Rattus norvegicus: one gene and its partners. The protein of the gene in region 1 interacts with the protein of each later gene in a pairwise test. Links are inferred from orthologs where the notes say so. Each region holds a gene or a part of one and is shown in the gene's direction. Other genes may lie near its edges. The genes, in order: Sufu, Glis3, Hdx and Rcn3.

The links.
Region 2: the proteins of Sufu (region 1) and Glis3 interact in binary tests that used the Homo sapiens proteins (3 or more experiments, as listed by UniProt). The link is inferred for Rattus norvegicus from reciprocal best matches to the Homo sapiens genes SUFU and GLIS3.
Region 3: the proteins of Sufu (region 1) and Hdx interact in binary tests that used the Homo sapiens proteins (3 or more experiments, as listed by UniProt). The link is inferred for Rattus norvegicus from reciprocal best matches to the Homo sapiens genes SUFU and HDX.
Region 4: the proteins of Sufu (region 1) and Rcn3 interact in binary tests that used the Homo sapiens proteins (3 or more experiments, as listed by UniProt). The two-hybrid records come from large-scale screens. The link is inferred for Rattus norvegicus from reciprocal best matches to the Homo sapiens genes SUFU and RCN3.

Annotation. Positions count from the first base shown.
Region 1 is NC_086019.1:255,277,450-255,285,257, forward strand, and holds part of Sufu (suppressor of fused homolog), read left to right. Parts: intron 1-3,934; coding exon 3,935-4,069; intron 4,070-6,131; coding exon 6,132-6,270; intron 6,271-7,808. UniProt on the Homo sapiens protein: Negative regulator in the hedgehog/smoothened signaling pathway. Down-regulates GLI1-mediated transactivation of target genes. Down-regulates GLI2-mediated transactivation of target genes. Part of a corepressor complex that acts on DNA-bound GLI1.
Region 2 is NC_086019.1:235,653,085-235,660,892, reverse strand, and holds part of Glis3 (zinc finger protein GLIS3), read left to right. Parts: intron 1-1,545; coding exon 1,546-2,659; intron 2,660-7,808. UniProt on the Homo sapiens protein: Acts both as a repressor and an activator of transcription. Binds to the consensus sequence 5'-GACCACCCAC-3'.
Region 3 is NC_086039.1:80,744,030-80,751,837, reverse strand, and holds part of Hdx (highly divergent homeobox), read left to right. Parts: intron 1-75; coding exon 76-198; intron 199-4,929; coding exon 4,930-5,055; 3' UTR 5,056-7,808.
Region 4 is NC_086019.1:104,702,257-104,709,944, reverse strand, and holds part of Rcn3 (reticulocalbin-3 precursor), read left to right. Parts: intron 1-247; 5' UTR 248-253; coding exon 254-495; intron 496-2,842; coding exon 2,843-3,045; intron 3,046-4,693; coding exon 4,694-4,866; intron 4,867-6,963; coding exon 6,964-7,024; intron 7,025-7,688. UniProt on the Homo sapiens protein: Probable molecular chaperone assisting protein biosynthesis and transport in the endoplasmic reticulum.

The DNA of each region.
Region 1 (7,808 bases):
GCCAGAGGCAGCTGAATCGGGGCCCAGGATAAGAGCAAATGAGTTTCCATTAGCTCTCAGAACCATCACCAGTCTTTCAGGCCCCCATGCACTGTTAGCTGCCTTATCAGATGCATCTTGTTTAAGTATGACGCAAGTAGACCATTTATAACAAGTACCCTACAGCTACTTATTTCTATCTAGGGGTATTGAAGCTTAGGGAAATAGTTAAGCCCTCCAAAACACATGATGGAATCCCAGCACTGCAGCGACTGAGTCAGGAGAGCTGGCTACATGTGTTCAAGACTAGCCTGGGAGTTCAAGGGGTGGGTGCTGGGGTGCCTCAACAGATAGCGCACTTCCACAAAGCCTAATGGCCTGAGTGTGATGCCCAGGCTCCACGGTAGGAGAGGGATAGGTTATTTCTCTGCCGCTGGTGGACTGAGCCAGTCCAAGCCAGATTATATCAAAGGCAGGTTTATTGGGAAAGTTTGCTGGCCCCAAGAATTGAGGCCAGGGGAGTCACATGGGGAGGGGGAGGCAGAGAAAGAGAAAGGGCACACTCACAGAGAAATGAGAAGAGAGACCAAAATGTCTGGATTATATAGGAAAGAGAAGAACCTCTAGGAGAAGGGCAGCCAAGCCTTTGGGCTGGGAAGTTCAGGGAATGCCCGGGAGGGACTGAGGGGTGGTAGGAGAACCTGAAGGCAGGTCTACTTTAGTATGTAAAACTTGTCCTGAGTTCTGAAACCAGAGAAGTAACCCCTGTAAATTGCCATCTGATCTCTGCACACTGGCATATCTGTGTGACATGCATACACACAGAAGATAAATATCATAAAATTAAAAAATAAATGAACAGCCAGCCTGGGCTACATGGCAAATCTGTGTCTCAGAAAAGGAAAGAGGAAGGTCATTTGCTAAGGTCACCAAGGAATGAGCCCATGATGTGCCTCCTAGAGCATACTCATGGTCCCATGTCCCCTAGACCTCCCCAGTGGCTGTGGGTCATGACTTCCCAGAAGCCCCTCCCCTTTCCAGCCCCCATCCCCCAATAGCTCTGCCTTCTTTCACTATGGTGAACTCGGGGAGAAAGCCCAGCTGAAAAATTAGGCCATGCCGCCTAGCACACTACTTATTTTTTTATGACTAAGATTAAGCTGACAACCATGCAAAACATTGCAAACCTGTGTCGGCTGCAGATTTAATACCTCACCCAGCCCACACAAATAATTCATGCTTCTGCATCGATGTCCAGAAAAAACAAATCAGCAAAAAGCTGGGCTCGGCGAGTGTGAGGCAGCCGCCTTCCCATTGAAGCAGCATGCCGGAAATACCCAGGCTCCAGGAGTGCAGATCTAGCATTTTGAGTTTTTTTTTCTTAAAAGATTAAAGTATGTTTTCTCAAATGATTGAAGGTTGGTGGGAGGTGTAAATGTGGGCACTTGTCACATTAATTCCTCAGATGATTAAGCTCTTTGCTGCTTCTTTAGAGCTGTCTGCAGTCGGGTTTGCTGTCCTCCTTCTGGTGAGTGTGTTGTGGCAGTTACCAAGGTGACTTTAGCTGACTTTCAACAATTTATTTTTCCCTCTAGCTTGAGACTCTCTAGCCCTGCGTGCTGTGAGATTCTTCTCTCCCAGCCCCCACCCTACCTCCGAGGCTAGTCATCAGCATGTTTGCCTGGCCCACTGAGGCTGGAATCCTCCAGAAGGTCCCACCCCTAGCAGGCCAGGTCTGGGCCCCAGTGAGCAGCCTGGCAGCAGCATAGACTAGGAGAGCCTGTTATCAGATAAGAGTCACATCCTGGCTCTGCTCCTCAATCACTCAGTGGGGTTCAGGGCGGGGCTCGGTGGTAAAGCGCCTGCCTAGCATACACAAAACTCTGAGTTTCAACCCTATTGCCTCCCAAATAAAACTTTAACCTCAAGGTTATCTGTGCCCACTTTGGGGCTTAGAACGTTTCCTTCCTTGCTGGGAGGACCCAGTGAGTGCAACTGCGTTTTAACAGAGAGCCTGACACACTCTCTGAGGAAGCACTGGATAAACATGGTTGCTGTTGTTTCCTGTGTTCTGTTCTTGTTTGGGCCCCAGGGGTACCCCACATGTCATCTCTGAACCTATCCATAGTGCCTGGATGAAATGTGGAGTTGTTCTTCTTGGCTGCTGGCCGGTAGGCAGAGGTGGTCAGAAGTCCTTGGTTCCCACAAGCTGGCCTGCCACACTCGTGCTCTTTGTTTGGCCTTGGATATGTTTTCCTTTGCAAAGGAAAGAGGTAAATTAAACAGGTTGAGTTTCTTTCCGATCTTGAAATGCTGTGACCCTCTTGGCCAGTGTGTCTCCTTCACTGCTCTTGTGAAAGTGCTTGCCAAGGGAAAGGCAGTTCCCAAGGCAGCGCTGGGAACCACAGGAAGGGCTGCCTTGGTGACAGAGCAGTCATCTGGGGGTGGGTCCTGGGAGGAGCAGACAGCAGAGCTGAACTGCCCAGCACCTGGGGTGAGGGGCGGGCTGAGTCACTGCCTTGCTGCCTGTGCTGACCCAGCTGACCCAGGCTTTCCGCTGGGAGGGGATCTATCTGTCAGGTGCATCATTGACTAGAAGCCCCTGTGCTCACCCTCCCTTCGTAAATTGAGGCCTGCTCCTGGGTGACTGTCCTGCTCAGACATCCTGAGTAGCTCTTGCCTGCTGTTTGAATGGTTTAAAAACAAACAAAACCGAATGCTCTGAGCCTGGTATTTTCCTGGGCACTTAGAGAATTTTCTGCGTTTCACAAGCCAAACTAGAGTCCAGTACCCTAGCTGTGGGTTGAGCTATTGCTGGGGGTCTTAACTGGAAGGGACCTAAGGGACTGCAACAGCTTAGTGTGGCCAAGGTCACTGTCAGAAGGGATCTAATTCAAGGCTTACACACACACACACACACACACACACACACACACACATTGTTAACATTTCTTCTAGGCTCCACCCCACAGTTACCAGTTATACAGTTAGCCAGGTGTGCCTGACTCACTATAAAAGGAGCTGCTTGCCCCCTCCTCACTCTCTTGCTCTTTTACTCTCTTACTCTCTTGTCGTCCCCCCCCCTCGCCCCCGTCTCTCTATGTGCTCATGGCTGGCCTCTACAATCTCTCTCTCTCCCTTTCTCTGTCTCTACTATTCCTTCAACTCCCCTCCCTATGCCCTAAATAAGCTATTCTATACTATACCCATTGTGTGACTGGTACCTCGGGGAAGGGATGCCTCAGCATGGACCTGCAGAGGCACCTCCTTCCACCTCAGCATACCATGCCTCTACCAAACATTTTCCTGGTTCTTCTTTTTTATAAAACACAGCATATACCACCACATACATGCCACACCAGTGAAGCTCAGCTGAGTGTCACATAGGCACACACATCTGACTCCTAAGGGCCCAACATTCACCTCTCAGCAAAGGTCATGCTGCTTCCTGTCACTGCTTATGTTGCTGCCTGGCCGGGCCTTGTGCAGGAGTGGGCTCACTTAGAACCCTGCCAGGGTCAGCCAGCCTGACCTTGAGCCGCTGTCTGTGACACCTTGGAGAGCTGAGAGCCTCTAGGGCTTCAAGTCAGGGAAAGAAAAGCTCCTTAGAGCAGCCGTTGATTTCATAGGCAAAATAAGCAGCCGTGCTGTGAGGACTTTTCTGTGTTGTTGGCCAAAGATGTGGGCTCTAACGCCTGAGTGACTTCAGACCACATGCCAACTCCACCTCTTCATTGGCTGTGCAGCCTGGGCACTCAGCCCCTCCGTCCCAGTGTGCCCACCTTGTGGGGCATTAGGGGGAGTAGCCAGCCATTGAGAAGTGTGTGACACCCTTGGCTAGTGCTCAGTGAAGGTGACCCTTACTGCAGTTAACAGCCACCATAGGTGCTGACCAGGAATTCATGGAGAAAATCTCATTGGCTTCTCCCCTGGTCCCTATGTGCTTCCTTCACAGGAGCCGTAAGGACAGCTTGGGCAGTGACATCTCCACGGCTGTTATCCCCCACGAGCTGATCCGCACACGGCAGCTCGAAAGCGTGCATCTGAAATTTAACCAGGAGTCGGGAGCCCTCATCCCCCTCTGCCTAAGGTGAGCTGGACAGTACCTTCCACATCAGCCCCTCTGCAGTACCCTGCAGGCCTCAAAACCTCCACAGTCGATCTTCCCCCAGTACAACTCATGTAAGCTTTGGCAAGCATTTTACCAGACAGGCTGTCTGTGAGCGTCTGATGCCTAAGCAGTGTCCAGGGCTAGGGATGGAAGACAGACACTCAGGCAGCTCTGCCCTGGGCCTGTGTGGGAAACTGGGGACTCTGTGTCACAAGCCTTCGCAGTGCACCCTGTCTAAAGCTCTGGGCAGTGCAGGTGGTTGAGAAGTCTTCAGACAGTGACCAGGCCAGATGGCCTAGAGTTCATTCTCAGAGATTGTTCCGAATCTCTTAAGCTAGATCTGTGACAGCCCCAGTCACATAACAGCCCCCACTCCCCACCCCACCCCGCCTGTCATCTGGGGTTTGTTTGTTTATTGAGACAGTCTTACTACGTAGCCCAGGCTGGCCTTGAACTCAGAGAGAGCTTCTGCTTCTTCATGCTTAAAGATATGCACCCTACACCTAGGTTTCTTAACATCTGGTTCTCTAAGAAGTTTCAAAGTCAGACACCATGGGGACTAGATGTTGAGAATTCTCACTTATCTAGGAAGTGTCCTTCAGCTGTGCCCCTTTTGGGAGGTTCAGTGACCAAGAGAGTCTAGGATGGCCCTGCCATCCCTTAAGCTGGGTCACAGGTCAGGAGCAAGAGGGTTCTGACAGGTTAGGCTCTGCATCCTCCTGCTTGATGCTTTCCCATGCAAGATACTTGATCCTTGGGGCTGGAGAGATGGCTCAGCGGTTAAGAGCACCCGACTGCTCTTCCAGAGGTCATGAGTTCAATTCCCAGCAACCACATGGTGGCTCACAACCATCTGTAAAGAGATCCGATGCCCTCTTCTGGTGTGTCTGAAGACAGCTACAGTGTACTTATATATAATAAATAAATAAATCTTTAAAAAAAAAAAAAAAAAAAAAAAAAAGATACTTGATCCTTTACAAAAGCCAGTGACCAACCCCGCAGACTCCTTGAGGGACAGGAAGCCCAGCTGTGTCCGTTCTGCTGCTGTGAGAGTCAGCGCCCACGCTGTGGACAGGACTCAGCTCCGTTCAAAGCACTGCACTAGGCTGGATCTCTTGCAGCTGCCCCCTCCCAAACACTTTTGAGTTCCAACTTCACTTTGCAAACTGAGGAAGCAACAAGAATCCCTCTAAACTTGAGGGGACAGTGACTAGGAAGAAGTAATTTCATGGTTTGAACCCTGCCCATGGATCCAAGAGCCAGGCGAAGTAGGGGAGGAGTCAAGAGTTTAACCAGCCTTAGCCAACTGCCCTGAGAAACAGGGCAAAGGTAGCAAGTGGTCTGGGTGAGCAGGGCCTCCCAGGGCCAGCACCAGACTCAGCTGTTTCCTCCTAGCAGCTTCTTGGGCACAGGCTTGGACTTCCAGCCGGGGGAAGGGTTTATCTGAAGCAGGCAGAGAATGCAAAGCCAATTTTTCCTCCTTGGATGCTCGGTATCCCTGCCGTTGGTTGCCACTGCCTACCGTCCTCCAAGTGTATTTTCAGACTAGTGGTGACTTCTCGCAGTGACCCTGCTTGGCTTCAGATTTGTTTTTTTGTTTTTGTGTTTTTAAAGATTTGCTTATTGCCTCTAGGATAACTGTTTAAATGTTTCAGGAGAGCCCAGAACAAAAGGAAGATTGTTCCGGGCACTTAATATCCCACTGGGAGTCATACGTCCTTCCCTCTGAGCATACATACGGTTAACTTCCCTCTCTGGCCTCATTGTTCTCACCTTCCCTGAGGTTCTCTGAGCTCTGACCTAGCATCAGGAGCTAAAGGCAGGATGCCTTTAGTGAACTGGTAGTGGTGGCCTTTCACTGTTGTGCTACAATGAACATGTTTGTCATTGGTCACTAAAGTCCCCTGTTACTGAACAGGTGGGCCATCAGGAGGGCACTGGCCAGACGCTCCATCTCGGAACATTGCTCTGTAGCCCCAGCACCTTGGCTAGGGACTGTTGTAGGCACAGATCCCCACTGTCTCCATGTTCCCATCTCCAGGGGCAGACTCCTGCATGGCCGGCACTTCACCTACAAGAGTATCACAGGTGACATGGCCATCACGTTTGTGTCCACCGGAGTGGAAGGCGCCTTTGCCACTGAGGAACATCCTTACGCAGCTCACGGACCCTGGTTACAAGTGAGAAGCAGCTTTTCTTCCTTGTTCTTTTCCTTTCACTCCTCCCTTGCTGCCTGCCCTCCCTCCCAGGAGCTCTCTGTGGTACCCATGCTGAGCTGGGAGCTGCCTCTTGGATACAGAGGCTGTGAGTATGGATGCTGCTGTCCTCACAGCAGCAGGGCACTCCCTGGCCATTGGGAACCCAGGCGTGAGAAGTAAAGAACTCCCCATACTCTGGGAAGTCAAGACCAAGAATGGAGGGTGGGACATGATGGCCCTCTCCAGTGACTGTATAGACACCTCACCAGAATGTATAGGAAGTGAACTCTGTGACTAGAGCAGGCAGGTCCCAGTGGCCAGGGCTCTGCACTGACCAGTCAGTTGCTCCCTTTGCTCCTGATGGAAACCATTGAACAGAACCTGACGGCTTGTCTAGAGCGTCCTGTTCTTCCATTTTCCTGCTTGGAGCAAGGATCACAGGTGATATCAAGCACAGTACATGGGGCTCTTAGCCTCCTTCCAGTGCCTGTACTGCCCAGATCTCTCAGGGGTCACAGCCTGGTCTGCCATACTCTCTTTTTCCTGGGGGTGGGGGTGGTGGCAATATTTTAGAGTAGGGGAAAAGTAATTTACTTACCTTTCATAAAAAATATCATGAAAGGGAATCAGGGTTAGATATGTTGATAAACAATTTAATCCCAGTACTTGGGAGACAGAGACAGGGGATCTGTATGAATTTGAGGCCAGCCTACTCTACACAAAGAGTTACAGGCCAGCTAGGAGATCCTGTCTTGAAAGAAAGGAAGGGAGGAAGGGAGGAAGGAAGGAAGAATAAAAGGAAAGAAAAGCAAATGAAATGAAATCAGGGGACTGGGGAACACATCTGATCTTCATCCAAAGTGTAACCAAGCTTTGTCTGTGGTGTGTAAGAGAAAGCAAGCAGAAATTACAGTAAAAGGCAAAGAATTACACTGACTTTGTGGGTAGCCCAGTCTGGGGTCTGCACTATTCTTAATATGGGTATAATTTTGTCTGCGCATGTCTGCTTGCAGCTGAGCCTTCCTCCCTCAGAGCAACCTCCTCCCTACTCCCCACCAAAGTCCTAACCCTTAATTAAAACAAACAACAAACAAAGGATACCAGCCACTCTTCTCAGACTAAGCCCAGAGGTAGAAATGGAAGCTAGTGCTTTAGGGATATTGTGTTCCATAAATTATCTTCCACTGTAGTTATTACATTGTTTCATAACAAAATTACTTTGAACCATAAAGTTATAAATACATTTTAAAAGTCCCACTTGGTAAGTTAGGTTTCGTCTGTGTGGTCTTGTAGTTACTGTAGCAGAAGCTCTGAAGTGTAACATTTGAAATGAGCCCAGCACACGTGGAGAAGGCGGAGGAGGTCTCCCACCCCCACTCCTGCCCCAGCCCTGTCCTAGGCTGCCATCCTGCTCTGACAACCGGAGGATGCAGGACTCTTCCCATTGTCAAAACTAGTATGGAGGTGGGAGATGGGGACCCCAGAGGAGGCCCCAGCCACAGAGAGGATGAGATGCCATG
Region 2 (7,808 bases), about 20 Mb from region 1:
CGGCCTTCGGGTCCATTACAGTGTCTGCTACCACCTTTCTGTGACTTTCTGAGCCTAGACGCTTTCTTCACATACCCCAGGCTTGGCACAAACAGTGTTCCTGGTTTCCATTTTGTGAAGCCAAGAAGGGGACAGGTGAAATGAAGCTTCCTCCTTCCTTTACAACAGCTTGACATTTAATGCCTGGAGACAGTAAATGAGTCCATCTAGAGAAGTCACACAGTTTATATAAGAACTTTTGGTGATTAGTCTGTTTAAATAAAGCATTCTGGAAAGCCAGCTGCAGATGCATGTGAATAAGCTATCTGAGGCTTCTGGATTGGGATCTGGTTCCTTTTCTATGTGTCTACAGGTTGATCCTTTTTGGGGCATGAATGTTTTGTTCCAGGGACATAGCTTTAATTTTACTGTTTTTAACTAAAAATTATTTTAAGGCAATAATGTCCTTGGAAAGCAGTATGAATTTTCAAGGGGCTAGAGTTACCATAATGAACCACTTTGATATGCAAACAATGATTGTGACATATTTAGCTTATATATATATATGTATATATGTATATATATATAAATAAAAGGGTAAGGACAAGGAAGGAATTGTAAAAATGAATCACTGCGAGTGAGTGACCTGTTCTCGGATACAAGGACAAGAGCTCATGGGAAACCCATCTAACAAGTGTGGTTAGCCCCCACAAGGCCTGATGAGTGATTCCAAATGCAGCTCTCCAGTCCATTTCTCTTTATGTATCGTAGCTTTGTTCTATTAAGGTCTCTCTCTCTCTCTCTCTCTCTCTCTCTCTCTCTCTCTCTGTGAGATAAAGACTGAACTCTGTGCTTCTCACAAGCTAAGTATGCACTTTATCTTTGAGGTATACTTTGTGCCCCTGTATTTTTACATTTCCACAAATGTTTGATAGAAATGGATGCGTACTCACATTGTCAATTGCCCTTTAAAAGTGTCTGATTTGACAATATCCATGAAATGGAATTGTAAAAGTTTTAGTAAGTTCCTAGCACAACATTTGTTTTGTAAGATTTCCTTTAAAAAAACAAACAAAGCAATGAGGTTATGTCACTTTTCCAAGTAGATTTAAACTGAACACTAGTGCTGTTGAGAAGTGTATGACCTGCAAAACCTATGACAACATGGTGTACACAGTAGGTGCTTAACAAATACTAATTTGGTGTGCTGCAACAAGCATCTATAATTTCTTCCTAGTCTTCAATTTCCCCCTTTTGTATAAAAAATTACTTTGAAATAAGGTGGGGACTATTTATTCTCATTAAAGTACTAGCACTAGTTATAACGATAGCTTTTATTATCCTAGTAAGCATTGGCTTCTCTTGTTTGCTTGGTAAAATGCTGTTTACCTGGAACTAAAAAGCCTGGGATTCTATCATAGTCCAAGAATCTGTGTTTATTGGCAAATGTAATTAGGGGAAATACTTAAGGGATTGTTGGTACAGTGTTCTCCCAGCTCTTAAGCAATCCACATCTCACTGAAAAAAAATTTTTTTTTCCTTCCTTCTCTCTGGCTGCTGCCCCAGGTCCGTTATTTTGCAAGAGTCTCTGGTGTCCACGACTTTGAGCCTGACAGAGAGTCAGTCGGCCTTGAGTGTGAAGCAAGAGTGGTCTCAGAGCTACAGGGGTTTTCCTTCACTTTCATCCAACCACAGCTCCCAGAATGGCATGGACCTAGGGGACCTTCTTAGCTTGCCTCCGGGCACGCCAGTGTCTGGCAACAGCGTCTCTAACTCCTTGCCACCCTACCTTTTCGGCATGGAAAACAGCCACTCTCCTTACCCCAGTCCTCGGCACTCAGCAACCAGGCCCCACTCCACCCGCTCCAAAAAGAGAGCGCTGTCCTTGTCCCCGCTGTCCGACGGCATCGGGATTGACTTCAATACTATCATCCGTACTTCACCCACATCCTTGGTGGCCTACATCAATGGATCAAGAGCCTCCCCAGCCAACATGTCTCCGCAGTCGGAGGTCTATGGGCATTTCCTGGGTGTCCGTGGCAGCTGCATCCCCCAGTCTTGCGCAGTGTCCAGCGGGCAGAAAGGTGTGCTGGTTACCAGTGGAGGGCATACGCTGCCGGGCTACGGAGAGGATGGCACACTGGAGTACGAACGCATGCAGCAGCTGGAGCACGGTGGCCTGCAGCCTGGATCTGGAAACAGCATGGTGTTGCAGCCCGGCCTACCGGGCCAGGATGGCCAGACAGCCAACATGCTCAAAACTGAGCGCCTGGAGGAGTTCCCGGCCAGTGCCTTGGACCTGCCCTCTGCACCGCCTCTCCCTCTTCCCCCGCCTCAGGGCCCCCCACCCCCATACCATGCCCATCCACATCTTCATCACCCAGAGCTCCTGCCTCACACTCAATCGCTGCCCCTGGCCCAGGCTGGCCTGGAAGAGGATGGGGAGCTGGAAGATTCAGGGGGTAAGCACTGCTGTCGTTGGATAGACTGCAGCGCCCTTTATGACCAGCAGGAGGAACTGGTGAGGCACATCGAGAAGGTCCACATAGACCAGCGCAAGGGGGAAGACTTCACGTGCTTCTGGACTGGCTGCCCTAGAAGATACAAGCCTTTCAACGCACGATATAAACTGCTGATCCACATGAGGGTCCACTCTGGGGAGAAGCCCAACAAGTGTACGGTGAGTTGGAGTTTCCGAGGTCCTGGGCCACCTGTCTTGAAGGTCCAGCTTACTTTTCACGCATGCATTTTATCCAACAGGACCGAGAAGGCAGGTAAGAGTTTCTATTTCTGTGGGATTTGAATGTGTGGTGGTTAAGGTACTTTATTAGGTTTCTTGCCTCGTCCTCTAGCTGGTGTAAGGGAAAGTTTCCTTTGATGGTGCTGGTTTTTCTCCCATTCTATCTCAAGCCCCATGCCACTATTGTTGTGGAGGTTAGTCTGCTTTAGTCTGGGATTGTGGAAAGGACACAGACTCCGTATTCCCTTGACTACATGGCTGTTGAAATGTAGGGCACCATTCACTGAGCCACAAGCAAGCTTTTTTTTTTTTTTTTCCTCTTTTCCTAAGTAAATAATCAGTTTGTTTTTTAAACCTCTGAAAATTTAGGCGAGGCTTGGGATCTGGGGGCGTGGCTGACATTTAAGATAGGAATTCTCCACTTAGGAACTTGACTATCGAGGTAGCAGCGTACACGTCGTATCTTCTAGGGTTGCGAGACTCATTAATGATTTGCAGTCAGCAAGGAAACACCAAGGAGACACCACGGGAACAGGGCCTTGTAGGATCTCGCTTAATTTTGAGGAAAGATAACTTTTGTGGAAAAGCATAAAGCCTGGGTCGAGACGATTTTGTGCCTTTGGTGTTGAAGCACATGGGTCTGTTGTCTCTCCTGCCTTCCTCCTTCCCAACACTGATCCTGCAACCCTGATTCTGTTTCTTGGCAAACCTGACTGTTTTTGAATAATTTGATTCTTAAATGCTTTCACCACACTTTCACACCTCGAAGAAGCCCTCGGGGGCTTACAAGCAGAACTTCACCCTCAGGATCACAAGAGATAGCTTTGCACAGTCTGAGAGGGCTCACTGAACTCTTGCAGAGGGAGTGGGGGGAGGGAGGGAGGAAGGGAGGGAGGGAGGGAAGGAGGAAGGGAGGGAGGAACATACGTTTTTCTATTAGTCTAGATGTCCAGGAATAGTTCTTCAGAGTTAGAACCCAGATTCCTATGTGCTCCCTTAATATCGAGAGTTCTGGAGATCAGTGATAAGGGATGGATATAAACCAGATCAGAGAGGAACGGGTTTGACTGTGATCCTCCCTGCCAGCATCATCTCTAGAGCGGGTTGTGATACAAAGCGTGTGGACTGTGTTGACAATTGACTGTAGGTTGGCCGAGCTCTGATCGATGCAAAAGCGTGCCACGAAGGTGAGCTCTGGGATGCACGAGTCAGAAGCCATTTCACCGCGTACTGTGGGTGTTTTCGAAAGAGCTGTAAGGCTTTCCGGTGGAATGGAGTTGTGCTTTTCGTCGTTATATTATGCCCATGTTGTGATTTTTTTTTCCCTCATGGAAAACCTGAAGCGGATGCATTGTGAGAGTGTTAGGTTCTGAGTGAAAAGAGTAATTTCATTCCAGGAGGCCGAACTCTATGCTGTCAGTAGGTTCTGTGTTGAGAATGCCACAACAAGAGACAAGCAGTTGAGGGCAATCCTGCTTACTCTGTTTGGAACACAGGGGCCTGTGGCAAAGCAGGAGAAACACCCAGTCTCTGAAGGAAAACAGTCCAACCTTTTAGTTCTGACTAACTCCCGGCTGAAAATAGTTCATTGGATTTGGCTTTACTGAAACAAACATTAAAGTTAGAGTTATATTAAAAAAAAAAACTTTTTTGCATTTCAAAATTAATTTCTGTGCAAAAGGGTTTCCCCATTTTCTCCTCGGGTCCCAGAGCTTTCAAAGACATTAAACTTTGCAGAGTTGACTTTTGCTAAAGTGCACAGTGAACATTAAAATTAGAAATAGTCGAGGGGAAGAACAGCTGAGCGGTGAGCCTGTGTGGCCATTCACTGTGTCATTCAGGACGGGCGGATGAGGCAACTGTGCTCTCCTAATCTGCCCTCTCCTCATTCATAGGCGGGACACGTGCACAACTTACTAATCCAGCAGCAGGACTAGAATCGTAAACCACTCACGTGCTGTGTGCAAATTTAGATAAAGCAGAGGTACATAGGGGTTACTGATGCTATGATCTCCCACCATGGGGAGTGTACGGTTTTAACAGGAAGAGACCCATTTTTATGTCAACGTACATACCGTGAACCTTCTATCTTCTGAAGACTGTTAATGTTGCTACATGTCATGTGCTTCCTATGTGACCCTGTAGAGTGCTGGCAGTAAGCAGTCTTGCAGTGGCAAGGCTTGGCGGACATCTCAGATTGTAGTCTGCAGACAGGAAGGTGTTGTGCTTAAGGGGGGATGGACATCTGAAGTGTGCATCCTCCTGCCCTTTGCAGAGGGAATTTTCCCAAGCTCACGGGATCCAGGCACACAGAACTTCCAACAGGGAAGTGTTTCATTGCATTGAAATCTGAAGGTAGCTTACCCCAAACCAGAGCCATGTCAGGTAAGGTGACCACGTTCTTTAGGAGAAGTGGTCTTCGGTTTTTTTTTTTTGGGGGGGGGGGCTACAAAACCTAGAAGTAGTTTGAATTTTAGGGGACAGTCTGGTTTTGTTTTGTTTTGTTTTGTTTTGTTTTGTTTCAAGTATATCTAATTTCTATTTCTCCTGTGTGGATGACATTCAGACTTAGTCATCATTTTCATCTACCGGGTTATTTAACCAAGAAATGGAATGGTGACCGATACGTGTTTGGTGACCATGACTACAAGTAACACTAAGAGCTTCTGGAAATTATGGTAAAAGGAGGGTGTGTCAGGGCCAATGCCTGCTTTACAGTAAGAGACTACTGTGGAATCCCCCCTGTTGTCAAGTTACTTATTCTCCATGGGAGAACGCATTTTATCAATCATTGCTAACCTTGGGAGGCTGCAGACTAACCCGGAACCTGGGAACAAAGCAGAGCCAGGGGAAGATTCCGAATTCATGATTTGGTTCTGTTATTGGAAGAAAAGGATGGGTCTCGTTCTCATCCAGACAGCCCCACCTGTCACTGACTGCTCCCATGGAAAGACAAACTGGCTCCTGCCCTTAAAGTCCTGGTTGCATGAAGTGGACAGTTCCAGACAGTGGCAAAGTGTTGCAACGCAAAGGCCTCAATAGGTGGAGAGGCAGATCTCAAATGAATCAGAACCCCAAATGTAGCAAGGTTGTATTTTAAAGTACATTCAGTCATGTTTGTTAAGTTAAATGGTTTCTAGGTGCCCACCAATGTTCTCTACCTTCTTGCTTTCTCAGCAGCTCTCTCCTTGGTAAATCTTAGGTTGTTGACTGTAGGCCATTCCCAAGTGTCACTAAGTCAAGTTTTGTTAAGTCTTTCTGAGATGAGGAGGTGCCTGATTTTCAATTTAGAACAAGTCTTAAGAGTTAGAACTTGTCCCTCCCCTCCCCCCCACAAGCTCCAAACCACTTCTGTGCCCCTAAGAGGATAACAAAGAGCATCAAATCATTCCTAAAGGATCCCATAGTGGTGGTTCCAAAAGAATGTGTCAAAGGCTTTCACTCTAGGGAGGCCTCTTGGCTGTTGAGCTCAGGGGTGCTCAGTGCCCAGTAGTGTTTTCCCGGGGGCATTGAAGTGTATTCTGAATGACAGGAGAAGCTTGGTCCATGAGCGCTTATGCTGGGAAGCAGCCTGTTCCGTGAGCAGGGGCCCAGGTTCTGTTCAGGTCCAGAACTGCGGGGCCTCTTTTCCTGCACAATTGAAAGCCTTGGGAGTGTTAAGGAGGAATTAGAGGCGATGTGGGTTGCCACTTACATTTTGCTTATTTTTCCTGGATGAATTTAATCCAATAGCAAAATGAATTTTGCAAAACTTTTACCCACCCACAAATTTTCATGAAAATGTCACTGACCAAAGACAGTTTTAAATTTTGTATGAATTGACTCATTTCTCCACAGGCATTTTTTCTGGCAAAATTCAGCGTATTTGCTTTGGCTTGGATATGGGGCAGTTTGCTTTTTAAGTAACACTGGATTATGAGCACAAGAAAATAAATACAGAGCTGGGGCCATGTCCCCAGCTCTCTTTTATGGCCTGATGTATGGTCATGGGCCAGCTTTGGCCATAAAAGATATTTTTTGAGAGAAAGTAAATCCGTTGTAAAGTTTTCTCCCCGTCTACAACCTTTATTTTGTTATTTTTGATAAGATTTGGCATTGATTTGATTACCACAATTACATGACCAGAGAGGACCTTTGGAAAATATTTGACTATAATTATTATTTAACACATCAAAACCTTTATATAGGCAGCAATGGGTAAATTTGCATAGTACCAAGTATTGATGAGTATGGAGAATGGTGTGTGTGTGTGTGTGTGTGTGTGTGTGTGTGTGTGTGTGTGTGTGTGTGTGTGCGAGTGCGCGTGCACGGAAAAATAAGTTGGTGTAACCATCTTGGAGAGCAATTTGGACATTCATAGTAAGTTTGAAAATGTGTATATTTAACAGAACCATGTTTATGTGTCTCTCTTACAGAATCCTTTACGTGTCAGAATAGAAACCTAGGATGAGACACATGTCGCATATGTGGTTTTATTTATATAAAAGTGTAATTAACTCTACTTCCACAGACAAGGTAAACCGATTTGCTATGGTTTATTCTTATGTAACACTATGAAAGAGTCTAAGATTAGTGAAATACACTCCACATGGTGAATTTCACAAGATAAAATTGAGTAAAATGCTATGTGCAAAATGTGGTATAATCCAATTTATGTACATTGAAACCCACAAAAAAATTAGAAAGGATTTTCAGATAAACAATTATGTGGTCAAGCAAATCCTATGGGCAGGAGAACCAGTAATCTTAGGGTAGTGGATATTTCCAGAGGGGAAAGAAATGTACAGAAATAGGATGTACGGATTTGCTTCTTGTCCTTCTTAGAGAGGGACTGAAGTATAGGTTACCCTTAATTTCTGGCTGTATCTGGTGATGATACAGGTGTTGCAGGGCCAGCTTATATATCCTCTTACTACTACTTGAAACGTTCTACAGCTCCGTATTTTTATCCTAATACAGTAGGAAATTGATTAGCACACACGCCAGTGTTTTTCCACACATACCGTTTTTCAGATGAGAACAAAGCTGAAGAAAATTGATTTTTTTCCAAGGTTATTGTTTAGCTGTTCCTCACTTAGGGTCTCTTTGG
Region 3 (7,808 bases), on another chromosome or scaffold:
CTTTATTGTTCATCAAACCTGTACGGGCTTGAGTTTACATGTGGTAGTTTTATTGCTTGATGTTTTCTCCTGTAGAACGAAGAAGTCAGATTCATTGAAAATGAGTTAGAGATTCAGAAGCAAAAATACTTTAAGCTCCAGACTTTTGTGAGAAACCTGATCCTCGCTATGAAAGCTGACGATAAAGAGCAGCAGCAGGTAAGTCCCAGGAGAGATGAGGAAGCCGCAATGTGTCAGGTTGAAAAATGGCATGTCATATTCGCATTCTTCATATCTCTTCCTTTGTAGTCTCCACTCCAGCTTGGAATTTCATCGTGCAAATGGTTATTTTATGATCTTTTTATACATATATCTTTTTGAGGTTCAGATTTCTGTCTGTGTGCTACTATAATACAAATTCTAAATAGCTGCTTAGAATATTTTCTTAATCTTAGGATAGCCTTTAAGTAGACAAAACCAAATTTTGAAATTAGTTTTCAAGAAATTCCTCAGAATTCTTGTAGAGCTATTCTTGTACAGCTATCTCAACCCATAACTAGACTGAATGTTTGGGGGACTTTTTCTGAATGAAACAAAGTAGGCATTTATTTATCCACCAGCAGCTGCTGGAACTCACAAATGTTTGGACATAGTCTGTTTTATAATATGTTGCTCCTCACTAAGAAAGCATGAAATTACTGCATGAAATTACTTCATGAAATTCTCTGTGACCATAGTGTATCACATTTTGCAATGTAAGTAAAACTGTTTGAGTCTTCCCATCTACCAATGGAATGCCTTTTGTGTTTTGCTGTGGCTGTTTGTTTATACATTCCTTCCAAATTACGTTTGGCCCTCAGGTCTTTCTTAAGACAACATTAATATAATATAAATAATATCATACAATACAATAATATATGGATATTTAAGCCTGACTATAAAATTATATTTAATATTAAATGTCAGATTTGTTGCTGAGTTATATATCACCATGTTGATTCCGTATCGGAAAAGTTATATGTGCATAGTATGAAATGCAGGTAGGTATATTTTACTAAATTACCTGAGAAGATTTTATCCATCAAAAAATGTCACAAGTAAAAACCCAAATAAAATATACCCCCAAATACCACAAAACAAAATACCCAAAGAACATTATGCATGCATAGCCCATTCCAGACATCTCTAGGGAATAGGTTAATGTCTGAACATCCCATAATTCACCTTTCTTTCAAAGAAAGAGATCTTTGTTTATTTAACTGTTATATTGAAACACAAAATTCAAGCTCTAAGAGTCCTCTCAAAGGGCTAAAGCCAGCATGACTATTATTTATCCAGATTCATGAAGTTTACTCTTTCAACTCTGACCGTATATAGAGACCACAGTTCAGAAGCCTTTAGGTGCCTGGGCTAGTGTTAAATGTAGTGCTTCATTACACACGATACACATTTCATGGCATATTGAAAACATGTTTATAGAACAGTCATGGTGGCTTATGCCGTCACTCCAGCACTAAGGAAGCTCAGATAGTACAAGCGCTGTGAATTTGAGTTCAGCCTTGGCTATAAATTGAGAATTTACCTTAAAACTAACAAAAGCAAGCAGAGCACAGCAAATTTTAAAAAAAGAAAACAAAGTTTTTTTAAGAACCTAAAATACAGAGCTTTTTCTTTTTACACACACACCCACACCCCCCCCCACACACACCCACAGGTTTATTGGTAAGCTACGCTCAGTCCAGGCGGGTTCACTGGCCCCAAGGAAATCACCATGGGAAGGAAGAGATAGGAGAGGGGGAAAAGAGAGAGAGAAAAGAGCATGTAGCTAGGGGTGGAGAGAGAGAGAGAGAGAGAGAGAGAGAGAGAGAGAGAGAGAGAGAGAATTGATTTTTAAATGAATACGAGTGATAGTATTGAACACAACCCCAATAGTATTATAGCTTTAAATAGCTGTAGAACACATGAACGCACGCATGCTAGCACACACAAATAGACTCCAACTTTAGACTAACTTATAATGTATTTCTTGTCTGAAAATGTATAAACTCGTAGTCTGAATTTCTACTTCTAACTTCAGCTCTACTTTCATTCTTTCCCAAGGATTACTAACAAATAAGAGAGAAACATGCATGTTGCTTTTCTTTTTCTAGTTTTCTTCTGATAAAAGACTTGTAAAGTAAGATATGAACAAAACATGGGCTGAAATAGAAAAATGATACCACATTATACTAAATGTCACAGCTTATAGAGTCAGCAGCCTAAATAAAAACTGTGTTATTCTTGTACTTTTAAGTATAATGAATTTCAAAGTAATTTCTCCAAGCATAAAAGACACTAGGTATGGTGGTGACACACACCTATAATCACTTAAAGACTTGAGACAGGAAGGTCATGTGTATAGCCTCTAAGCAGAAAAATAATTTACACACACACACACACACACACACACACACACACACACACACACACACATGATACTAGTAGTGATAAACAAAAGTAATCCAGTTTATATCTTAAACTGATGATATTTCTGGAAATATACATTATCCTATATGGTAAAATAGAAACACTTGCCATTACCTTCTTATTTTTAAAAGCTATACAGTATTTCTTTCATTAATCTTTATTTGGATAAGTTGGATAAGTGATCTATGGGATATTTTGCCCCTATAAAGAAGTCCAGGGTTTAAAAATATATATGGTACTTCCCAACTGAAACATTAGATTACCTAAAGGTTGTCTTTTTAAAATCAATAATAGCCATTTTAACATCCAGATAATGTTGCCAACATTGCTCTAAGTCATTAGTTATGGTCTTTCTTCCCCTGATAATTCACTGTGTGATCCTAGCCAGATCGATCGCCTTTCTTAAACTTCAATTTCTCCACTCTGCAAGGAGGATAAGAATGATTATCAATTTTACATTCACATCTTAGAGCCTAGAGTAAGTATTACAGACACTGAGCGTGTATTTGGAGAAAGTGTTAATGATCTCTTGGGAAAAATGGCATTTGGTCAGAGCTCGAAAATACTTGTTACTGATGAAAAACATGTAATAAAAAATATTGAGGCTGTAGATGTGAATCATTGACAGAGTGTTTTTCTCAGAGTAAATGAGACCCTGGGTTCAATCTGCAATATGGGTGATGGGAGAAAAGAAGACATTTAATTGTGTCTACTTGTATCTTTGTGAAAAGGGCAGTTTCAATCATTGACAAAGAGTTGTTTAATGTCCCCAGTATTTCTGTCCAGTAAGATATTGAAATAATTTTGCAGTGAAATCCATGCATCAACAGTGCTATGAACTACCTCATATAATGAACATTTTAAATTCTATTCTCAATTTTAGTCAGTCAACTGTTCTAATGAAATAAAGAAGAAATAAATAATACCACTTCTCTATTTTGGGGGTCTTTCGGCTAGAATTTAGAATATCATGAAAATTCCTAATTCACTTGATTTCCCAATCTATGAAGCTCATATTCAATCAGTGCCAATTTGAACATCTTTCCATTATTAACATGGTAGAGTAAACACTGCAACATGAACTGGATCTACTGATGTTACATTCTGAACAGCCTGCATTAGCAAAGGCCCCTTTGTACCTGCACTGGATCAGCAGTAGTAGCTCAGTGTCCTAGAAGAAATTGGTATGTTTCAATTACTGCAACTTAGTACCTCAGAAAGCATGTGGTGTCTTCAGTATACATCCATGGGTAATTTAGTGATACAAAAATAAATTATAACTTTCTCCACATATGTTAGTTTTTTCTTATATAGCATGGCAAAAACTAGAATGTTTCCTTCTTATTTGCTTGCCACAAGGCAAAAATTATATGATATATAATTGTCACTATTCTATTGAAGAAGAGAATCAGATCTTATTTCAACACTATATTTCTTATGTTTCCCCAGCATGCCCTGGCCTTTCTGCTCCTTAATTGGGTTCTAGTCAGCTTTCATTTGTTTCTATTCTCTTGCTTCTTGTTTACTAATCTCCCCAAACCCACAATACAAGTAATGCTGTTGAAAAATTTCCTCATCGACTATGGTATTTTAGGTCCAATTTCTTATGGTTAAATGGGTAGCAGCATTGTCAGCCACAAACAACTTGACTATTTCTCTAGTATAGACACATGTTCTACAAATACAGATGAAACAATTAGAACATGGGTAAGCTTAGCTCATAAATGTTGGCATATCCTAATTGTTCCAGTAAAGAAATATGCCAATACATCATTAAAACAGCCATATCTTATATTGAGCTATCCTTAGTGGGTGCTTTGCCTCCTGTATGGACAGTCTAAGGAAAGGAAACAAACAAATAAAAACTCCACATGGTCTTTTCCAATTGTTAAACTTTTATCTATAGTAAAATAGAAGAATTTCTCCCCTGACTGTTACATTTATTCTTTTAACAAAACAAAATAGGTCTTTGTTAAAATGTGGGTTTCCTTAAAGGGCAATGAAGCATGAATATTTCCAATAAAGAAGGAAAGGGAATGGTAAGCTTTTTATGAGTAAGCAGTGAACACACAAAACTAGCATGAAAAATACTTGCTTCAATCACTTGAAAACCCTTTGCTAAGGGTCCTTGGTTTGAAATAGTTGTTAATGTTTATAACCATAGTACCTTCTGATACTGGCATCATCAGAATAGCTCTTCATTTCCTTCTTGATTTCCCCTTTGTCTAAGATTCTACTCTACTTGGCATCTACTATTTTGTTCTTTCCTAATATATGAAAACTTACTGTTTTAGGTAAGGAATTGTGTAAAATCCTTAAAAATAAATATTTATCTTTACTAAAATAATAAATAATAATTAATAATAACATTAATAACAATAATAAATTAAAAGAAAAGAACTACAACTATCAACATAAAATTGTCAAAAAAAAAGGCCTTCTCCTTACCAATCTAACACAATTGATTTTTTTTTTTTGACATAGGCACTGCTGTCAGATTTACCTCCAGAATTAGAAGAGATGGATTTCAGTCATGCCTCACCAGATCCTGATGATACCTCATTCAGTGTGTCTTCATTATCAGAGAAAAATGCCTCAGACAGTTTGTGATTGGGGGTGGGAAAGATGATATAGTCTCTTGGTTGCCTAACTGGTGTGTGTTTCAAGATAACTGTACTCTGTTTCCCATATAGTCTTCAACTGGAAAAACACATTGTTAAAACAGACGTATGCTGTGAAGGAATGACAAGATTTAATGGCTACAGTACAAAAGAAGCATGTAAAATACTTGAAATGGTTTGTTTTTAAAACTTATAAAATCCTAGAAAATTATAAATTTTGACCAACTCAGCTATGAAATTTATTATATCTGACTTCTGAAAGGTTTTTTTTTGCTTATTCTTTAAGAAGAATCTTAATTTTATTCAGAAATATAGAAATGAGCACATCTCAACATTACTAAGTTGCTAACACTTGGTTAGTATTATTTTTGTAGCCATTACATCTTTCTTCCTACTTCATTTTCTTATGATTCATATACATTTTTACTCAGGAAAGTGGGCTAAAATTTTAAAACAGACCTAATCATATATTTAACCTGGATGAATCCTGGGATTTATTTTTCAACTCCTATGAGAATTTGGCCTAAGATAATGATTGAAAATCGAAGCAATTATAGGATGTAATTTTAAGTTATTGGTACTCCCCTGACACTGGGGAAAGGGGAAAATCCTCTGAAAAGTCGACTCATCATCAAGACATTTAAGTACACAAAGACTGTACTTTGTAAAAAACACTTTTAATCTCAATTCTTGTATAAAGTGAGTGATAGTATTGCTGATTCATATTCTACCATATAGTAAATTTATATAATTGAGTCAGACAAAATATTGCACAAATATTCAAGTTTACCAACATTTTCTTAATATTTTTCATATCTTAAAATTTTTGAAACAGGAAATCAAAGTATGCCACTGATATTTGGTTGTTTTTATTTAATTCTAGACATACAACCTTGCCACAAAGTTTACCTCATTTCCATATGAGGCCTGCACAGAGCCAACAATAATGTCAAAAAAAGAACTATAGTACTTTGATTATAGATCAAAGACCTGAATCTCCTGGATGCTATTCTATGAATACACACCGAAAATGGGCATGGTACCCAGTTGTTACTATTAGTAGGTACCAAATGGCAGCAGACTGTAGACATCTTTTTGCATCTCCCTTTCTGGAATACCAGATGGCATTACTAAGGTCTGTAGATGGGAAAATACTAGTTTCTGCCTAAACTTACAATGTCATATATTTGTAACTAGGTTGTATGGAACTATATTACACAATTAAATTATTATCTATTCCCAAAAGATGCTTGAAGCATCTGTAAAACTGTTTCAATTGTCAACTTTCAGATAAGTTTCTTAACTGCAGCTATTCTGGTCTCAGAATTTACTGATACCAATTTATGATTACAGAAAGACCCTCATAAATCCCTTTAGCTCAGAAATGTCCCTTCTCATCGATATATACAAGTAAAGTTCATTGGTGACCATTCAGTTCATCAAATGTTTGATTTTACACTGTTGCCACACAACCTCTATGGCTTCCTTGTCAGCAGAAATATTTCAGTAGTCAGCTAAACATGTCCTTTAACTGAGAGTCATGTGGTTCTTTGCAAACAACTTTTGGTATTCCTTGCTGACAAACCAAATTCCATTCAGGGGAAAGACTACTGAGCAACAGAAGCTCAAACATTCAGATTAAGCTCTTCGGTCACATAAATTTCTCCATAAAATAAGAGTCCTCACTCTATACAACAAATACCAAATCCATTATTTTATGATATGGAGAATTAAGACAAATTCTCCAGTAGCTCAAGCTGGCCTTTAACTCCCAATATAGCTGAGGATGACTTGGAGTTCTGCTGTTCCTGCCTTTGTTTCCCAAATGCCAGGATGGATTTCTTTTATTATGAGCACATTTATAGTCTCATGTCTCTCTGTGACTTTCTTTCGTGTCATTGAGTTTCTCTATAAACTTAAACTGCTTCAGTTTAAGAATCTTCGTAGTTGGTTTTCATTGCAGAGTAAATCAGGTGAGTCTTTCCTATGTGTTTTAACACACAAAAATTTATTTTTCACATCTTAGAAATGTGTCACTACATTTAAAAATATCCTTAGAGTTCTCACTATAGGAAAGATATTGTGCCAGACGCTGGATTTTTAAATAATCTATGGACTATAAAAAATTATTTCAGCTGGGTACTAGGACACATAGCGATAACTCCAGCACTGTGTAGGCTGAGGAAAGCTGGCTTCAAAACACAAAGAAACATTTCCTGTTAACCTTTTTCTGTCTGTTAATAAAAGTTTTTCAAATGGCAGCTATAATTGATTGAAGGATTCTTATAGATGTGATTCTTAGAAAGAATCTTACATCTCTAATTTTGGAAGGATGTATAAACTGTTCTATTATTCCTATTTAAAGTTTCATTCAAATAGAAGCTATGTGTCCTAACAGTCTAATAGGACTACTTTTATCCTGGTGTATTTCTTCTAGCCACAGGATTATATCTTTTATGAACATAGGAATTAAAACATTTAAAAATTTTAAGTGGCAGAGTTCTTTTGTTTTGTTTTTGTTTTTAAAACATTTGTTCCTTTTATTCACAAAACATAAGACTTACCCCTTTGTTGAATCTCTTTTCTTTATGATTTTACACAAAGGACCTTGAGATATATCAATTATAAAACATGTCAAAAAGAAAGCATCTTTAAAAGTTTACAAGTATGTACTTATACAATCCATCAATGTAAAAAAGACATTGGATTGAATGTAAGGTATGTTCAGTTGTCATTAGAATT
Region 4 (7,688 bases), about 150 Mb from region 1:
TACCCCCTTTCTGCTCTGAGAGTCCTCTGAGGCTCGGATTTCATCCCCAGAGATGGTTTTACCTTCAGATTCTCGATTCTTTTTGCCGACTTTTCTTGAGCCCCAAACTGTTTGCAGCCTGCGCGGATATCTGCACTGCCTCAGGCAGCCTCCCCCCACGCCCCTTCAAAGTTCTCTCGCATTATCTCTGGTTTAGATTTTTTCCCCCAAATCTTACCCCTGACCCATGTTCCTCGCTTCTCCCCAGGAACCGATGATGTGGCGATGGACGCTTATGTTGCTTCTCTTACTGCTGAGGCACTGGGCCCTGGGGAAGCCATCTCCTGATGCAGGACCTCATGGCCAGGATAGGGTGCATCATGGAACCCCCCTGAGTGAGGCCCCCCACGATGACGCCCACGGGAATTTCCAGTACGACCATGAGGCGTTCCTGGGACGAGACGTGGCCAAGGAATTTGACCAACTCACCCCAGAAGAAAGCCAGGCCCGACTTGGGTAGGAGGATGCGGGGAGCCGTGGAGAAGTGGGAGGTGGGGAGAAATGAGCTCACTGAGAAGACTTAGAGGCAGAAAACCGGACAGAACTGTGGTACTCACCTCCTGGGAAAAGGTAGAGTTAAACCTGAGGCTGTGGGGGACCAGTGTCACCAACACCTGGGTTCTCTCTCTACTTCAATCCACCCTATGCCTGTCTGGGCATCCCTGTTCTCTCTTCTAAACGTGTCACCGACTCTCGGTAGAGACTGAAGACATGGGATTTGAGGAAGATGCCAAGCTCAGAGGCCAGGTTGAACTGGGATGAATGACGCCAGCTGGACAGGATTGCCCTGTTTCTAGGTGACAGACACTGTCAGCATGGGCCCGGGACAAGAAGGCCACTCACGTATATATGCTTGATTATTTTCGTTATTATTAGTACTTTGAGATAGAATTTCATTTGTGGTACTAGCTGGTCTGGAATTCACGCTGTAGACTGGACTGGTCCAGAATTCAGAAGTCTGCCTGCCTCTGCCTCCCGAGTGCTGGGATTAAAGGAGTGCATCTTTAATGTGGTGACGATTTCTAATTTTTTTTTTCTTTTTTCCGGAGCTGGGAACCGAACCCAGGGCCTTGCGCTTGCTAAGCAAGCGCTCTACCACTGAGCTATATCCCCAACCTGACAATTTCTAATTTTAAACTGGGCAAATGGTAGCAGGGTGGAGCTGGAGAGGGAGGAGTCCAAAATTGATCTGCCCACCTAGGGAAGTGGGCAGAGCTTGAGTCCACTGGCAGACTGGGCTTGAAAGAGGGGCGGGCCCTGAGATAGTGAGAGGTGGAGTTTCAAGAGACAGTAGCATTCTCCTATTGGGGTGCAGTTAGAGGCCGGGCTCACTGTTCACACTTCAGCTCAGTCCAGCGAAGGTCTATGTAACGCTTAGGGGACCGGGCTAGAGTAGAGGGTGGGACCTTGTTTGTGCCACGTGCTAATACAAGTCTCTAGGACTCCGGTAGGGGACAGGCTAGGTGAAGATGGCAGGCTTTTAGAAGGGCCTGGCACTGAGATTAACAGGTGCCTCTCAGTTCACCTAGCATCTTTACTGCCTTTCCAAGCCTATACAGCAGCATTTCTGAGGGGTGTGGCTAGGGGCAAGAGGCGGAGTCAGGATGGGCAAAGACATAGTGTGGGTGAATCCTATCAATGGTGATGCTCTTCCTGGTCCTGTACTCACAATTTTAATCCCAGGACTTGGAAGGCAGAGGCAGGCAGATCTCTGTGAGTTCCAGACCGGTCTGGTCTACCGAGTGAGTTTCGGGTTAGCCAGGAATACATAATGAGACCCTGCCCTCAAACAAACAAACAAACAACCCCCAATAATCCGCTAAATAGTACAAACAAAAACAGACAGTTCCTCTCTTTGGTTTATTTGGAGTCCCACCACCAGTTTGCTTGCACATCTTGGGTAGCATTTTTTTTCCTTATTTATCTATCTTTATTTCTAAATAATTGTTTTATTTTAAGTATATGGATATTTTGCCTGCATGCACATGTATATGTACCACACGGATGCCAATGGATCTTCTGGAATTGGAGTTACAGTTGTGAGCTTCCATGTGGAATGCTGGAATTGAACCTATCTAAAGGAGCACCCCGTGCTCCTCACCACAGAGCTGTTTCTCTAGCCTTCTTATTTTTCTTTTAATTTTTTCCTTTCTTTTCTTTTCTCTCACGACAATCTTTTTTTTTTTTTTTTTTTTTTGAGTTTGCCTAAATAGTCCTTGCTGCTGTGTCTTGAAGACTAGGTTGGCCTTGAACTCACAGAGATCTGCCTGCCGAGTGCTGGAATGAAAGGCCTGCTCTTTTTTATTTTTTATTTTTATTTTTTTTTCCTTTTCTTTTTTTTCGGGGCTGGGGATTGAACCCAGGACCTTGCGCTTCCTAGGCAAGCACTCTCTCTACCACTGAGCCAAATCCCCAACCCCCTTTTTTATTTTTTTAATTAAAAAGATTTATTTATATGAGTGTAGGTATCTTTCATGTTTGTATGTTAACCATTAACCTATCTGTGCCCACAGAAACCACGAGAGGGTAATGGATCCCCTGCTACCGGAGTTACAGATACTTGTGATCTGTTTTGTGGGGCTCATGGGAAACAAGCTCAGGTTCCTCCAAGAGCAGCCAGGGCTCTTAATTGCTAAGCCATCACTTAAGTTCCCATTTTTGTCTTATGTGGGGGCAAGGGTGACTCTACATGACAGGGAGGGGCCTTGGTGGGCGGAGTCAGGATTGAGATTGACTGCATCTCTACTCTAGGGGCAGGGCCTCATTGGGCAGGACCAGAGACTGACATTCATTCTCCTTGCAGGCGGATTGTAGACCGCATGGACCTTGCTGGGGACAGCGATGGCTGGGTGTCCTTAGCTGAGCTCCGCGCGTGGATTGCGCACACACAGCAGCGGCACATCCGTGACTCGGTGAGCGCAGCCTGGCACACCTACGACACGGACCGCGACGGGCGCGTGGGTTGGGAGGAGTTGCGCAATGCCACCTATGGCCATTATGAGCCCGGTATGGTATGCCCACCTCGCCTTTGCCCTATGACCTCGCTTTTAGGATCTTGTCACTGATACTTCCCTCCATTTCAAATGTCATTTGCTCTTCCTTCTGAACTCCAGCCTATGTGACAAGTTGACTGGAGACTTCACATCCCTGGCAGGAACTACTTAACGCTTAACCGTCTTGTTAACCAGACCCCTGATCTCTGTTTCTTTTCGAGATGGTATCCCTACGCAGTGTCGGTGTCTTAGCTAGGGTCACTATGATGAAACACTGGACCAAAAGCAAGTTGGGGAGGAGAAGGTTTCTTTGGCCTCTGCTTCCACATCTGTGTCCATCACTGAAGAATTAGCTATAGCACTGGTTCTCAACTTGTGGGTCCCGACCCCTTTGGGGTTCACATATCAGCTATCCTGTGTATCAGATAGTTACATCACAACTCATAACAGTAGCAAAATTACAATTAGGAAGTAGCAACAAAGCAATTCTATGGGGGCCGCCAGAACCTGAGGAGCTGTATTAGAGGGTCAGAGCGTTAAGAAGGTTGACCACTATTCTACAGCCCAGTGTTATGGAAGTGTTTTCTCAATCAGGGTTCCCTCCTCTCAGATGACTCTGACCTGCGTGTCAGGTTGACATAAAATTAGCCAGCACCCCTGGCTAGCTGTCTTCTTCAGTCTTGCTTACAGTCTCAGCATTTGTGGGGTAGAGGAGGCAGGAGGATAGCCCCGAGCTCAAGGATAGGTATGGCACAGGTGACTCCCTCCATGCTTCAGGGACCCTAGGAGACAGACAAGCTACCTCCTTAGCCTCTCCCACCAGCAATGTTGTGTTCATAGGGTTTCTGCCCCAGTTTCTTTGGTGGAGTCCACGATCTCCTCAATACTTTGCACTTCGCCTACGCTGTTCCTCCTTTGGCGAGAAGCCCTTCCCTGCCTCTGTCATGGAGTTAGAGCCAGTCACTTGCTGTATCAGGAAAGAACTTCAGGGCTAACCAGGCCAGTGTCCGCTCAGAGCCCAGTCATTTCACCTTCAGAAAAGAGGACAAATGGAAAAGGCAACAGTCTGGCTTTGTGTGAGGATTACATAGAGCATTGTAGGAAACGGGACACAGAGGGGCCTGGGGAGTGGGAATGGTGCAGCTCCCCTTTAATCCCAACACTGGGAGGGAGAGGCAGGCAGGCAGGTCTCTGTGAACTAACAGGCTACCCATTGAGTTGCAGGTCAGCCTGGGCTACATAGTGAAGCTCCAGTCTGTGACGTCACTGACTGTGTTACAGCCAGATACAAGAAGCTGAGTATATTACACGTGAAAATTATTATTTTACATCTCTAGGGATTGAACCTGGGGCCTCACACTTGCCAGGAATGGTTGAGCCACACAGCAGCCCCTCACTGGGAGATTCTAGGCAGGGGCTCGCTGCTGGGCTATCTGATAGTCTTGCTTAGTTACCCTGGCTGACCTTGAACTTGCAATTCTCTTGCTGCAGTCTTTTAAGGATGAGAATGACAGACCTGCCCACATACCCATCATGTGACTGACATGTGTTACTTCTTACACACTGTGGCAGGCCTTCTGCTAGCTGAGTCCTTCTGTTCCCTAAGGCCCCAGGCCTCGCCTCTGTGACCACGCATCTCATCCACATCTGTCCTTCCCCAGGGGAGGAATTTCATGATGTGGAGGATGCCGAGACTTACAAGAAGATGCTGGCTCGGGATGAGCGCCGATTCCGGGTAGCTGACCAAGATGGGGACTCCATGGCTACTCGGGAAGAGCTGACGGCCTTTCTGCATCCTGAGGAGTTCCCTCACATGCGGGACATCGTGGTGGCAGTGAGTTTCATTGCAGAGAGCATGATTCCCAAACCTGTCCTGGGTCCCAGCAGCTTTCACAAGGATTCCAGGCCACCAGTGTAGATGTGGGACAGCATTTTATCCCGTGTCTACTCCCCATCAAGTACCTGGTACCTCTTTGTCAGTCCTTCCTGTGCTCCTGTTAGATGTCTGGTCCCCAGCCTGTTCCCAGACACAACATCTTAAAAAGATGCCTCAGGTGAACACCAATTGTGGCCAGAGCCCAGGAAAACACAGTTTATTTGAAATTCACATATAACAGGCTATGATTTTTTTTTTTAAAGATTTGCTTATTTTATGTATGTGAGTACACTGTCGCCATCTTCAGACATAGCAGAAGAGGGCATCAGATCTCATTACAGATGGCTGTGAGCCGCCATGTGGTTGCTGGGATTTGAACTCAGGACCTCTGGAAGAGCAGTCAGTGCTCTTATCCTCTGAGCCATCTCTCCAGCCCAGCATGCTGTGATTTAATCAAATCTCAGATACTAGATATGGAACGTACTTACGGGGAAGGCGGTGGGGCGTACAGGTGCTGCAGTGGCCATGAAAGGTGCTGGACCACCTGGACCTGGAGTTGCACTGGTCCGGGGAACTGAACTCAGATCCTCTGAGACAGCGGGTGCTCCTCACCTCAGAGCCAGGGCTCCACACTTTGTTGCTATTTGCTTCTTGAGACTGGACATTGACCAAGACTTGGGGCTTGCCGATTAAACTAGGCTGGCTGACCAGCTGTCCCCCGGCATCTCTCTGTCTCTGCCTCCCAGCTCTGGGGTGGTAAGTGTGGGTCACCAGGCCCCTCTTATGCAGGTTTTGAGTAATGCAATTCAGATCTTCGTGCTTGTGTGGCAACTACAGGGATCTTATAAATTTGTTTTGTCTCTTAGGGTCCACTGCTAATCTTCAGTGACTATTGAGCTCTTGAACTTGAAGAAGTGGATTCTATCTATCCATCCATCCATCCACCCACCCACCCACCCACCCATCCATCCATCCATCCATCCATCCATCCATCCATCTATCTATCTATCTATCTATCTATCTATCTATCTATCTATCTATCTATCTGAGCTTTGGAGGCAGGCTTTCTCTGTGTAGCCCTGGCTTTCCTGGAACTCACTATGTAGACCAGGCTGGCCTCAAACTCATAGAGATTTGCTTTGCTGGTGCTGGAATTAAAGACATGTTCCACCACCACCCAACCAGAAACCATTTATTAAATTAGGACAGATAACATGAAGAGTAGACATGTGGGTGCATGTGCCAAAAATAGTCCATGTGCCGGAGGGATGGCCTAACAGTTAAGAGTACTAGCTGTGGGGTTGGGGATTTAGCTCAGTGGTAGAGCGCTTGCCTAGGAAGCGCAAGGCCCTGGGTTCGATCCCCAGCTCCGAAAAAAAGAACCAAAAAAAAAGAAAAAAGAGTACTAGCTGTTCCAACAGAAGCCTGGGGTTCTTTTCTCAGCCCTGGTATAACTCCAGTTCTACAGGGTCTGATGGCCTTGTTGATGTTGGAGGGATTGTGTGCACGTGGTACACAGGCATGCAGGCAAAACATCCACACATAAATTTTTTTAAAAAATATTTATTATATTTGAGTACACTGTAGCTGTCTTCAGACACACCAGAAGAGAGCATCAGACCCCATTACAGATGGTTGTGAGCCACCATGTGGTTGCTGGGATTTGAACTCAGGACCTCTGGAAGAGCAGTCGGTGCTCTTAACTACTGAGCCATCTCTCCAGCCCCACATAAAATTAAAAAGAAAAAAATCTTTAAATATACATTATCGATGAGCTGGTTGTAGCGGAACACAACTCTTGGGAGGCTGAAGCAGGCTGGACTCAGTTCAAAGCCAGCCTTGTCTACAGAGTGAGTTATACACCAGCCAGGGCTACACAGTGAGAGCCTATCTCATAGAACCAAACAGACAAATCTGGGCAGGGTCGGACATGGGGGTTCCTGGCTGCTTCACACTGGACACAAGCACATCTGGTCACATCCACAGACCCCCCCTCCCCGTGGACATTGCTCAGTTGTATGTACACTGACCCTTCACCCCAATGCCTCTCCCCAGGAGACCCTGGAGGACCTTGACAAGAACAAAGATGGCTACGTGCAGGTGGAAGAGTACATCGGTGAGCAAGGCCGGCTCTCACCTGAGGCCTGCCATCTCCTGGCATCAAGGGGAGCTGAGGTCCTCATGCCTCATGCTGCATGAATCAAGCCCCCACTGTGTGCAGAGTCTACTGCATGTCTAGCCCAGGGAGCATTCATGGGGAACCTGCAGAAAGCACCAGAGAGAGAGATGCCCTTTTGGGACAGCCTGGGGCTCTACAATGGCCACGGCTCAACAGCTTGGCTTTGTTGGCTGTACCAGGCTCCAGATTTGTCTTGTTTCCATAGCATTGTCTCCCGTTGTCCTGTCCGGGGCTATTTCAAGTGTTTTAACCTGGACAGCCAGCCCTGTGCTAGGCCTTGGCTGTTTAACTCAGGGATGAGGATAAAATCTGACGGTTTTGCTGGCTTTTAGGAAAAAAAAATTTTTTTTTCTTTTTTTGAGCTAGGTCTCCTGTAACTCAGGCTGGCCTCTTGAACTTGCTATGAAGTGGAGAACACCTTCGATTCCTTTTTTTTTTTTTTTTTTTTTTCTTTTTTTCAGAGCTGGGGACCGAACCCAGGGCCTTGCGCTCGCTAGGCAAGCGCTCTACCGCTGAGCTAAATCCCCACCCCCCCCCTTTTTTTTAAGATTTATTTATTTAACGTATGTGAGTGAGTACACTGTTGCTGTCTTCAGACACA